Elephas maximus indicus: one gene and its partners. The protein of the gene in region 1 purifies or fractionates together with the protein of each later gene. This does not show direct contact. Links are inferred from orthologs where the notes say so. Each region holds a gene or a part of one and is shown on either strand. Other genes may lie near its edges.

The links.
Region 2: the proteins of AMFR (region 1) and ERLIN1 purify together in Homo sapiens (affinity purification with mass spectrometry; 3 studies listed by BioGRID and IntAct, with this or other methods). This does not show direct contact. The link is inferred for Elephas maximus indicus from reciprocal best matches to the Homo sapiens genes AMFR and ERLIN1.
Region 3: the proteins of AMFR (region 1) and TMUB1 purify together in Homo sapiens (affinity purification with mass spectrometry; 3 studies listed by BioGRID and IntAct, with this or other methods). This does not show direct contact. The link is inferred for Elephas maximus indicus from reciprocal best matches to the Homo sapiens genes AMFR and TMUB1.

The regions. Positions count from the first base shown.
Region 1 is NC_064839.1:23,462,542-23,466,286, reverse strand, and holds the start of AMFR (E3 ubiquitin-protein ligase AMFR), read left to right. Parts: upstream 1-1,176; 5' UTR 1,177-1,329; coding exon 1,330-1,575; intron 1,576-3,745. UniProt on the Homo sapiens protein: E3 ubiquitin-protein ligase that mediates the polyubiquitination of lysine and cysteine residues on target proteins, such as CD3D, CYP3A4, CFTR, INSIG1, SOAT2/ACAT2 and APOB for proteasomal degradation.
Region 2 is NC_064834.1:51,843,327-51,847,071, reverse strand, and holds the start of ERLIN1 (erlin-1), read left to right. Parts: upstream 1-1,062; 5' UTR 1,063-1,232; coding exon 1,233-1,489; intron 1,490-3,188; coding exon 3,189-3,270; intron 3,271-3,745. UniProt on the Homo sapiens protein: Component of the ERLIN1/ERLIN2 complex which mediates the endoplasmic reticulum-associated degradation (ERAD) of inositol 1,4,5-trisphosphate receptors (IP3Rs).
Region 3 is NC_064838.1:12,134,063-12,137,807, forward strand, and holds the start of TMUB1 (transmembrane and ubiquitin-like domain-containing protein 1), read left to right. Parts: upstream 1-1,416; 5' UTR 1,417-1,501; intron 1,502-2,279; 5' UTR 2,280-2,309; coding exon 2,310-2,698; intron 2,699-2,991; coding exon 2,992-3,343; 3' UTR 3,344-3,745. UniProt on the Homo sapiens protein: Involved in sterol-regulated ubiquitination and degradation of HMG-CoA reductase HMGCR. Involved in positive regulation of AMPA-selective glutamate receptor GRIA2 recycling to the cell surface.

The DNA of each region.
Region 1 (3,745 bases):
TCAAGGTTTATCAATCTCAATTGTTAAACCTTGAAAATTATGATTTACAAATAACATGTATCAGTACTTCATTCTTTTTTAAGGCAAATAATATTCCATTGCATGGCTATACCAAATAACCCAGGTGGCGCAGTGGTTAAGCACTCAGCTGCTGGCTGAAATGTTGGCTGTTCAAACCCACCATTGGCTTTGCCAGAGAAAAGACCTGGGGATCCGCTCAGGTAAAGATTACAGCCTAGGAAACCCTTCCTGTGCTATAGGGCCATTATGAGTTGGAATAGATGACACAGGGCAACATGGATATAGCACCCTTTGTTTACCCGGTCATCAGTTGATGGACTTTCAGGTTGTCCATGTATCATGAATAAGGACTTTTGATTATTAGAGCTGCTGCTGCTGTGAACATGTGTACAGATTTTGTGTGGTTGGTATGTTTTCATTTCTTTTGGGTATATACCTAAGAGTGGAACTGCTGCAACAAATGATAACTTTATGTTTAACTTTTTAAGGAATTGCCAGACTGTTTTTCAAAGTAGCTGCACCATTTTACATTCCCACCAGCAGTGTATGAAGGGACACATTTTTATTTCGTGCTAAATCAGGTTCGTTTTAGATTGTGATAGAGACTATAATACTGGCAAGTGGCAGAAATTTAACACAATTTATTGCAGAGAAATTTAAGACTACAGATTAATACTCTTGCTTTTGTGATCACGGTCTCTATTATTCCCCAAGCACTGCCTCCTCTTTCAGGCACCTGGGAAGTCTAGGCCCACAGGGGTACCAAGGGCAAGTGGCTGCAGGCCTGGTGGCCGGGCTTTCCCGCGTCCCGAGGGGCAGCCACGCGGCCTGGGCTGGGCCGCCCAGTCAGCGCCCCAGGGCCTGAGTCACGGCCTTGGCTCGGACCGGGGCTGGTGTCCTGCACGCCCGCCGGCCCGGCCGAGCCGGTGACTCGGTGGAGGATGAAGCTGGGTGCCGGCTCTCGGGGACCGGGCCCAGGCCCAGGCCTGGGAGGCGGCAGCGCGGCCGCGCTGGGCAGGGGGCGGGGGACGAAGCCGCGCCCCCGCGCCCGTCCGGCCCGCGCCCCGCTGGAAGCGGCAGCCCGCCCCGAGCCCGCCGACGCTCTTCTGCGCCGGCAGGGGCAGCAGCGGGAGCGGCGCGGGGCGGAGCCGAGCGGCGCGAACGGCCGGGAGAGGCCCGGCCTGGCCTGGCGCGGCGGCAGCGGCGGCGGGAGCGACGCCAGAGGCCGCGGGCGCCTTTCGCGAGGCCGCCGCAGAAGCCCGGCCGCAGCGCGGGGAGGCCTGGGGTCTGGAGGCCGCCGCTGCCGCCATGCCGCTGCTCTTCCTCGAGCGCTTCCCCTGGCCCAGCCTCCGTACCTACACGGGCCTCAGCGGCCTGGCCCTGCTCGGCACCATCGTCAGCGCCTACCGCGCCCTCAGCCAGCCCGAGGCCGAGGCCGGGCCCGGGCCCGGGCCCGGCGAGTCGGAGCAGCCCGCTCCCAGCCGGGCGGACGCCGGGGGCCCCCGGGCCCGCGACGTGGCCCAGTACCTACTCTCGGACAGCCTCTTCGTCTGGGTGAGCGAGGCTGCCACTGGCCCCGCAGAGGTGGACGGGCCAAGCGGGGCGGGGGCGCCCCGTCACCCATTATCCATGGGGGGCGTGGCCTCCCCACGGGACCACCGTGTGCGGGGGCCTGGGGCCGGGGGACCGAGACTGCGCTCGCGGAAGGAGAGGGTTGAGGGGTTGGAGTGGGCCCGCGGTGGGCAGAAGATGGGGTGAGGGCGTGAGGAGGGGGCGGCCCTAGGAAGTTGGGGGCTTGAGGAAGGTGTCCAGGAGGCGTGGTGGGGGCGCGCGCGGGTCGAAGAGGCCAGGCCCGGGGCAGGGGAGACAGCGCAGGGACGGCAGGGAAGGGGTTAGGGTACTCGGGGGAGGAAGGGGTGCAAGTAAAAGGTGGGGACAGGGTGGGGTATCTGAGGGACCCTGGGGAAGGAAATCAGAAGACCTCAGGTCAGGTTCAGCGGGGAGGTGAGGATCAGGAGTCAGCTACTGGGAGCGTTAGAGTAAGTGGACAGAAGTTGAAAGGCTTTTCTGACTGGGTCTGGCATGAGTAAGTTATTAGCGGGTTTCCAGTGAAAAGGACAGGGCAAAACAAACAAACCCAAAACCCAAACCCGCTGCTGTGCAGTCGATTCCGACTCATAGCTACAAGGGATGGGAGAATTCAGAAGCTGAGTATGGGGGAATTTTAGGCATTTCGTTGTGTTTGGACATTGCTGTTGGGAGGGCGGCCGTCTCTCACAACTTTTTACTGCCACTTGGTATTTGCTCGTCTTCTTTGGGTGCTATTTATTTTAAAAAAAAAAAAAAGGACACAACTGTGCTTCGTCTCTTGCTGCCCTTACCTGATGATTCATGACGGTTTTCTTTGATGTTGGAAGCAGGGTAACACAGCATTCGGGGTCAAGAGGCTGCTCTTTATTTTAACTTGGGATTTCTCCTTCTAGTGATCCATTTTAAAACAAGACTTCCAGCTTGCCTGCCAGTGCAAGATAAGCAGCATTTACAAGGCATACGTGTTTGTCTCATTTATGAAAACAGATAATTTCAGGCTGGGCAGGTCAACTGTATTTTGGCTAAAGAATTTTGCTTCCACCTGGACTTTGAATGCCTGTTATATAAACTCCACAGTGATCAGAAAAGTGACTCCAAGATTTAGTCACTGGGGGTTTTACATCCGCGTTTTGGATCTTGTCTCTTTCTCAGGTTCCCATTTGGGCTTGAGTTGTTGTGTGCTGTCGGGTGGATTTGGACTCATAGAGACTCCATGTGACAGGGTAGAATTGCCCCGTAGGATTTTCTAGGCTGTAATCTTTTAGGGAAGGGAAGCAGATAGTCGGGTCTTTCTCCCACGGAGCCACTGGTTGAGTTCAAACCACCAACCTTTTCCTTAGCAGCCAAGTGCTTAACCTTTTGAGGTTGAAAGTAGCCTGTAAATGACTGAGGGATTAATATTCCAGGCTGATAGAATGATATACAACTCATTTGTTATAATTAATCCCACTGTGCTTCATCAGGAAGCAGTGGGATTTATGAATTCTGGGGGCTGTGGAATGAAGTCTCCTGGTCCTTCTGATGTAGAGATTACTAGAAGGTGATGAAGGGTGAAGTTCCATTCCTCTACGGCTGTGTAAAGCTGCCAAAGACTGGAGAAGAGAGAGAACTCATCTCTTGCTCTCAAATCTGCTTTTGCATTTGAGTTGGCAGGTAAACAATTTGAAGTGAAGAGTGCCTTTGACAAATGTTAAGATTATAATGTAGTCTTTGATATATTTTTTAAGTCAGAGATATAAAAAAGCCTTTGAGAAAGAACTGCTATTGTACTTATATAACAACCACTAGTATTGTTTAATGATTTTTTTTTCCTTTAGGAGTTTCTTCTTACAAAGCCGGTGTTCAGATTCCAAGGTTAATACCTCTTCATCAAATACTATGTAAAATCTGTTGATTTTTCTGTGAAAATTATTTTTAAGAAAATTTCTTTCTTCTCAGCTTTTTCAGTAGCAGTGTTGCCTCACGTAACCTTATCATTTCTTCCTATCTGTTGATAATACCTTCATTTCTCAGTTGATCTTCTTAACCGTTTTCCACCTTTTTTCTTTGGTTTTCACGTGTTCATGCTGGCCTTCTGTGGTTTCTGAGACTCTGCATGTGTGCTCTGTAAGTTTTCCTCCTTACCCATTTAGTT
Region 2 (3,745 bases), on another chromosome or scaffold:
TGCCCACCTTCTTTACTACGCTAGTCTTAAAAACAACTGTTGCCATGGAGTCTACTCAGACCCATGGGGATCCCATGTGTGTCAGAGTAGAACTGTGCTCCACAGGGTTTTCAGTGGCTGATTTTCTGAAAGTAGATCACTGGGCGTTTCTTCCAAGGCACCTCTAGGTGGTCTTGAACCTCCAACCTTTTGGTTAGTAGTTGAGCAGGTTAGCTGTTTGCACCACCCAGGGACTCCATGCTGCCCATATTCCCTCTCATTTGTGTATCTACTGTTTTCCCTTGTCTTCTTTTACTGACCAAATAATTTCTGCACATGGTGCAAAATTTTAAAACACGAAAAAAATGAAAATGAAGTGTGTCGCCTTCTGTCCTTTAGTCACCCAGTTCCCCTTCAAGTAGAAAAAAAAGGGCATTCAAGCGTTTCAATTTCTTGTCCTAGCTTCCACACTTAAACCTGCTCTAGTTCGTTCTGTTCCCATGACTTGGATGCCCTTCATAAAGCCCGCACTGAACCAGCTTAGGTGTTCAAACAATAATTAATGGTAAGTAAATGATGCCGTTGGATCGAACGCCCTCAGCACTTTACTGGCAACAAGTCTGGGAGCTCCTCAAGTGCAGGGTCCGTGCCTGAAGCACGTGCTTGCCACATAGGCTCGGTATAAACCACAAAAGTTCGCAACAGCGACCACACTAAGAGGAAGCGGGTTGTCGCACAACAACATACTGACGAGTCAGACCTTTATCCGAGAGCCCCTGTCCTTTCCTCTGCACTGTTGCTTAAGCCAGACTATCGATTTCCACCCCTTTCCGGAGCAGATAACCACCACCCATGCACAGAAAAGGACCACCTCGGAAAGAATTGCGCGGCCGCCGGCTGGGAGAATTTTGTCCCGTCCGCTCCCCGTCTCCGCCCGCGGGCTGGCGGCAGCGTCGCTGTGCGTCCTCGCGCAGCCGTACTTCTGGGGAGTGGGCGGGGCCGGCTGTGGCGGCGGTTGGCGCGGCCAGAGAGGCGGCTGCACGTGCGGGCGGGGGGGGATGCGTCACTGATCGGTGAGGCGCGGCCGGGGGTCGGCCTCCCTCCGGAGCCCGCAGCGGGCCCCTTCTCAGTTAGTGCCCTCCGGCGGGAGAGCAGCCGTTGGGAGAGGGGGGGTGTCATGACGCTCACCTGCCCGGGTTGGCCCACGGGCCGCCTCGGGCGGAGGGGGAAGCGGTCTCTACAAGAAAGGAAAAATGATGGGAAAGGGGCACAGGACTCCCCAGCTCGGCCTGCGGTCGCGCCCCTGGTCTCCGAGCGGGAGGGTGGTCACTGAAGGGGGTGCTCCTGTCACTCACGGGGCTGGGGCTCCTTCCCTCCCTCATCCAGGAGGAACAAGGATGAATATGACTCAAGCCCGGGTTCTGGTGGCTGCAGTGGTGGGGCTGGTGGTTGTCCTCCTGTATGCCTCCATTCACAAGATCGAAGAAGGACACCTGGCTGTGTACTACAGGTGAGTGGCGTGTGCAGCCAGTTCAGGTTCTAGAGCAGATGGAAAGAGGACTCCTTTAAAGTAGAGTGGAGAAGTTGTTCCCTCTGCAGCGTCCTGAAGAGCGAGCGCTCCCCAGTCCTAGGAAGTGCCCAAGGGAAAGTATGGGCAACAGCAGCAGGCTTTTTAGGGTACCCTCCAGGTGTTTGACAGTGTTCGTCCTACATACATTTTGTTGCAGAGATTTAGACCCCTGGCTGTTATTCTTCATATACAACACTTAGTTATTTGTAGAAAGGCAAGCAGGCAGTGAGTAGTTACTCCAGCGGTAACCAATGAGATGGGTAAATTGTTATATTCCATCTAACTGCACAAACTTTTAGTTTGTAGTTACAGATGCTGTTTAGAGAATCCAGACCTGTTTATGGTTGTTTCTTGGATTTTTCCTTTTAAAGCCCTCAAGTGTCTCGCTTATGAGGCCTTGATGACCATGGCAGTTGTTGTATCCCTGGATCTTGAGGGACATAAACAGGATTGATGAGCCACCCTCCTCCCACCTTATTTTTACTTTTCGAGTTGAGACGAATAGTATGAAATATGTTACTGTCTAGTTGAGCTTGCAGAGCCTTTCCTTTAGCATAATTACCACCAGGTCCTTTTGATTTAGACTAGTAAGAGAGGACAATTTGTGGAGAAATTGGGATAGTGGTGTTTACAAAAAGAGCTTCAACTTTTTGCTTGTTTTTATCTGTCCCTCAACTTGGTATTTCTTCTTTTAGAGCCATCTTGAGTCTTAGAAACAGTCTTCAGTGTGAGGAGCTAGTTTCAACTACAATATTAGCATAAGAAATGACAGATTATTCAATTTTCTGTCTAGCTGAGCATTTTCTTCCTGACAGTGAAACCAAGGAAAGCACAATTCAGGGTATGGCTCTGAAAGAATGAGGGATGAGCCTTAAATATTTCATCTCTCCTTAGTTATTTGTCATGAGTTCTTTGCAAACCTATTCATATTTTCAGAATAATAAACTTTAAGTTCTATGAATTTATTATTAACTGTGTAAAGTAGGACTTTTAAAATATTTGCTCCCAAAATGCCTCCTTTTTTATAATTTTTGAGGTGGGCTTTCTCACATTCATTTGTTTGGAGAACAAGTCCATGTTCATATCCTGTCTACTTATAATCTTACCCCCTTACCATTCATCTTTCCATGCTAATTTTTTTCCTGTTTTTATATACTTTATACAGTCAGTATTTTAGTTTTATTGCACATAGATTAAAAGAATCTCGAGCCTCAGAAATTTTCTCCTTCCTTGAAAGTTTGTGTCTTCTTTTTTTCAACCCGGTGATTAAATGTTCTCATCTGACTCTCTTTATGTATGATTAAACTGTGAGCCCTTGGAACTTTTTTCCACGAGTATTTCTCAGAAGGTTAAAGACCAAGGAGATCCTTTAAACCTGACAGTGGTACAGGAGACCCAGAGGTATAGTTGGTCCAGCTTATGAAACAAGGTGTAACATCCAGCAGTTTGGCTTGATCTTTTCACCTTTTGGGGTGTGGCAGGTATTTTAGGGAGCAGCACTTGTTCACCATGAATAACTCATGTTAGTAAGGCTTTATTAGGTCAGTAGCATGAGTAAGAGTGAATATTTGTTTTAGCATTTTAGATTTAGAGAATTTCTCTCTTTATAATCTTGTCAAATTGAAACATCTTTTTGCAGGGGAGGAGCTTTACTAACTAGCCCCAGTGGACCAGGCTATCATATCATGTTGCCTTTCATTACTACGTTCAGATCTGTGCAGGTGAGTGATTCCTAGGGAAGCCCCCACACTGGATAGACAGGTGTAACAGGAGCAGTTACCACACTTGTGGGTGGAGATGGATTTCCTTATTGCTTAAGCAGATGGTAGCATTTACTTAAACGGAGGAGCTAAAGTTCAGAGTACAATTGTCATAGCATACGTTGTGATGAACCACCTCACTCTCTTGACATGCGTTAGAAGTATGAGCTAGGCAGCTTGGGAAGCTTGACTTTTCCCGTCTCTATTTTATAGTGGTATGCAGCAGGCTTTCTGTTAAGTATTTGTTGCTGCTCTAAAAATAAGAGCCAGAATTGGGAACACAACTAGAAATGCAAACCAGTGACTGCTTGGTTTAGAACATTGTTTGGTTTCCATAGAGGCAGGCTCCTGGGCTACTGTTATCATGGAGAATCTGGATTTCTATATGTACACAGTTTTTCTGTCTCAGGTTTTTTGCCTAGTACGTTAGCACAGT
Region 3 (3,745 bases), on another chromosome or scaffold:
TATATTTTTAGACCATATGATTTCTGATTTGAATGGCCAATACCGGTCCATTTCAGCTCACTGATGCCTAGGATATCTATCTTCAAGCATTTCATTTCATTTTTGACAACTTCCAATTTTTCTAGATTCGTACTTTATATATTCCACGTTCAGGTTATTAATGGTTGTTTCAGCTCTTTCTTCTCATTTTGAGTTGTGCCACATCAGCAAATGAAGGTCTCAAAAGCTTGACTCCATCCACGTCATTAAGGTCAACTCTACTTGGAGGAGGTAGCTCTTCTCTGGCGGTATTTCGAGTGCCTTCCGACCTGAGGGGTTCATCTTTTGGCACTATATCAGTGTTCTGCTGCGATTCATAAGGTTTTCACAGATCAATTTTTTAGAAGTCGATTGCCATGTCCTTCCTCCTAGTCTGCCTTAGTCTGGAAGTTCTGCCGAAATTTCTGCATCGTGGGTGACCCTGCTGGTATTTGAACTACTGATGGCATAGCTTCCAGCATCACAGCAACAGGCAAGCCACCACAGTACAACAAACTGACAAAATGAGTGGTGGATGAGAACCTTAGGGTAGGTTATTTTTAATCAAGACTGACCATCCAAGAAGTGAGGTCTCTGTGGCTAGAGGAGCCTAAAGAAAGGAGGGAAAACCCACAGAAATTAGCTGGTCCAGGCCAGGCTGGGGGTCACAACCTCTTCAGAGTAACGCTCTAATTTCTGAGCCCTGGCTTGAGTGGACGGAGTGCACCGATACCAGGTGAGCAACTACCTACTGTGTCCAGATACTTGGTTTTCATATTTATTTAGTAAAACATCTCATTTCTCATTTACAGCTGCCTGATGAGGTATGTTTTAGGAATGAAGAAGCTTAAGTTCAAGGACATTAGATAACTCTCCCAAGGTCATATAGCTGACACGCACGATAAGGATTCTGCGTTTCTGGCGGTTCTGAAGTCCATGCTTCTTCTACAGTACTACAAGTGCAAGGTAACGGACAAGGACCAGCCTTGGGGAGTGGTATCCTCAGTCAGCCTGGTGGGGCAGTCCATGGGTACTGGGTTCCGGGGTGCCTTCTGGCGTCCACTCCAACAATGGAGTAGGCCGCGGTAGGAGCCAGCAAAGCTATAGGGTCCAACCTCCCCAGAGCCTTCATTACTGCATCTCGAACAGGGCGCTCTGAGGTGCTCCAGCTGACTTTTTTCTGAAGGGACAAATGCCCGGTTGCTGGTAAGGGAGGGGTCGATCCAGCCACCGCCCAAACCTCTGGGGACCAGCGCAACCCCCAAGCCAGCCCCGCTCGGGCCCCTTAGCCACCCTCCTTCCTGGGCAGCCGGCCAAGCCCTCCGTGGGGCGCGAGGAGGGGGCGGGGCCGCGCCCGTCCGCGGACTACAACTCCCACAATGCGCCGGCCGCCCGGGAAGGAGGGCGCCTGCAGGTGCCTGCGGCCTCGGCGCCTGCGCCCGGAAGTGCCCGCGGGCCGACATGGAGCTGGCGGGGCTGGGCGGTGAGTACCGCGCGGGCCCGCTCCCGCCCCGCCCCGCCCGGGATCGCTGTGCCCTCAGCGGCTTGGGGGCGGGAAGATGGGAGGTGGATGGAGGAGCCGGGGGTGGGAGGGTGAGGTGTCGCCTTCCCCGGGCCGGGTCTGGGGTCGGCTGCGGCGTAGGCTCGGAGAGGCTCCCGGGGACGCGCGGAGTCGGCCCGCCGCGGGCTGGGGTGGGCGTGGGTCGGGGGGGCCGAGGAGGGTGGCGGGTGGCAAACCCCGGAGGCTGCCGCTTGCTTGGGGGCGGAGCTTGACGTTTGATGTGGGGGAGTTTAGGAAGCTGTTGGGGTTTGGCTGAATGGCAACGGGGGGCGCATAGAGGCCTTTCCGCCCCCTTGAAGAAACTTTAGCGACGGAGGAGTAGATAAGCTGTGGGGTGAAGTAGAGGGTGGAGTAGATAAGCTGTGGGGTGAAGCTTGGTGGGCGTTGACTTTAGGGGAGGAGTTCCTTAGAAGACCGGGGTCCTTACCTTGGGATGGGGTTTGAGTGAATTAGGGACCTGGCTAAAGAGATTTAGAACTCAGGTTACCTGAAGTTAGGACTTTCGATTTGGTGGTGGAGCGGGACACCTTGAAAAACACCTTGGGGAGTTTGTGGCGACCGGGAGTCCAAACAGTCTGTTCCGCGGGATGTGGCTTGGGTACAGGGGGCAGAGGAGTAAGGGCTATGGGAGAGCTGGAGTGCGTTCAGAGGGCTCTTGGCCAGAGAGCCAGCCTCTCATGGATTCTTTGTGCCTCTCCAGCTCGGTAGCGCAGCGGGCAAGGTGGGTGCCATGGCCCTGATTGAAGGGGTGGGTGACGAGGTGACCATCCTTTTTGCGGTGCTTGCCTGCCTCCTGGTGCTGGCCCTTGCCTGGGTCTCAACACACACTGCCGAGAGGGCCGACCCACTGCCCCAGCCGTCAGGGACCCCAACTTCAGCACAGCCGAGCAAAGCCGTGGTAGCTACCGATAGCATCAGAGGGGCGGCCCCCGGAGCTGAGGCCCCCAGCCTGAGACACAGAGGTCCAGCTGCACAGCCAGAGCCGGGCACAGGCATCCCAGGAACACCGCCACCACCAGACTCCCCACAGGAGCCCCTTGTGCTTCGGCTGAAATTCCTCAATGATTCAGAGCAGGTGGCCAGGGCATGGCCCCAGGACACCATCGGCTCCTTGAAAAGGTAAGCTGGGCCACAGCGGGGTGATGATCTGAGCAAAATGCTAAAGAATGTGGTGGGAGTGGTCACAGACCCGGGTGGGCCACCAGAGACATCCCCCTTACCTTAAAATGAAGGAACCAAGGTCCATAAGTTACATGCTGGTCCAGTCCTTGTCCCCTGGTAGCAGACCGCCCCCACTGAGGCTAGATCTGGTGGTGGGGTGTGGGGCAGAGAGGGGGGGCAGGGTTTTGTTCTAGGGCAGGGACCAGGATTGGCTGAGGCCTGCTCTCTTACCCAGGGCCCTCTCTCCTCAGGACCCATTTTCCTGGCCGGGAACAGCAGGTTCGACTCATTTACCAAGGGCAACTTCTAGGAGACGATTCCCAGACCCTGGGCAGCCTTCACCTCCCTCCCAGCTGTGTTCTCCACTGCCACGTGTCCACACGGGCCGGTCCCCCACATCCCCCCTGCCCACCGGGATCAGAGCCAGGCCCCTCCGGGCTGGAAATAGGCAGCCTGCTGCTGCCCCTGCTGCTTCTGCTGCTGCTACTGCTCTGGTACTGCCAGATCCAGTACCGGCCCTTCTTTCCGCTGACCGCCACACTGGGCCTAGCCGGCTTCACTCTGCTTCTCAGTCTCCTGGCCTTTGCCATGTATCGCCCATAGTCCCTCCACGGGCAGTGGGCAGCACTGCCAACCCCTCTGGACCTTGCTCCCCACGACGGAGTGGGAGCTGCTGTCTGCCCAGGCCTGCTTCTCCGGCCTGCCTCTTCCCTCTGTCCTGGAGCACAGACCCTCGCCGCCGAGGACTCCGGGGGCCAGCAGAGGCCCTTCCCTGTGACCTCCATGGCACCGAGCCCCCTCCTGGAGCTGCTGGCCCTCAGCTCCCACTGACAGTGGGCTCCTCGGGGTCAGGCAGCTGCTGTCGCTGCCTAGGCCCTGGACAGAGTCGGGCAACCCCACTGGGCCCATTTTAGTGCTCTGCTCTGGAAGAGGAGGACCTAGTCACCTCCAGTCCCTGATACTCCTTCGTCTGACCTGGGGACTCAGGGACTGCGACGCTTGTGG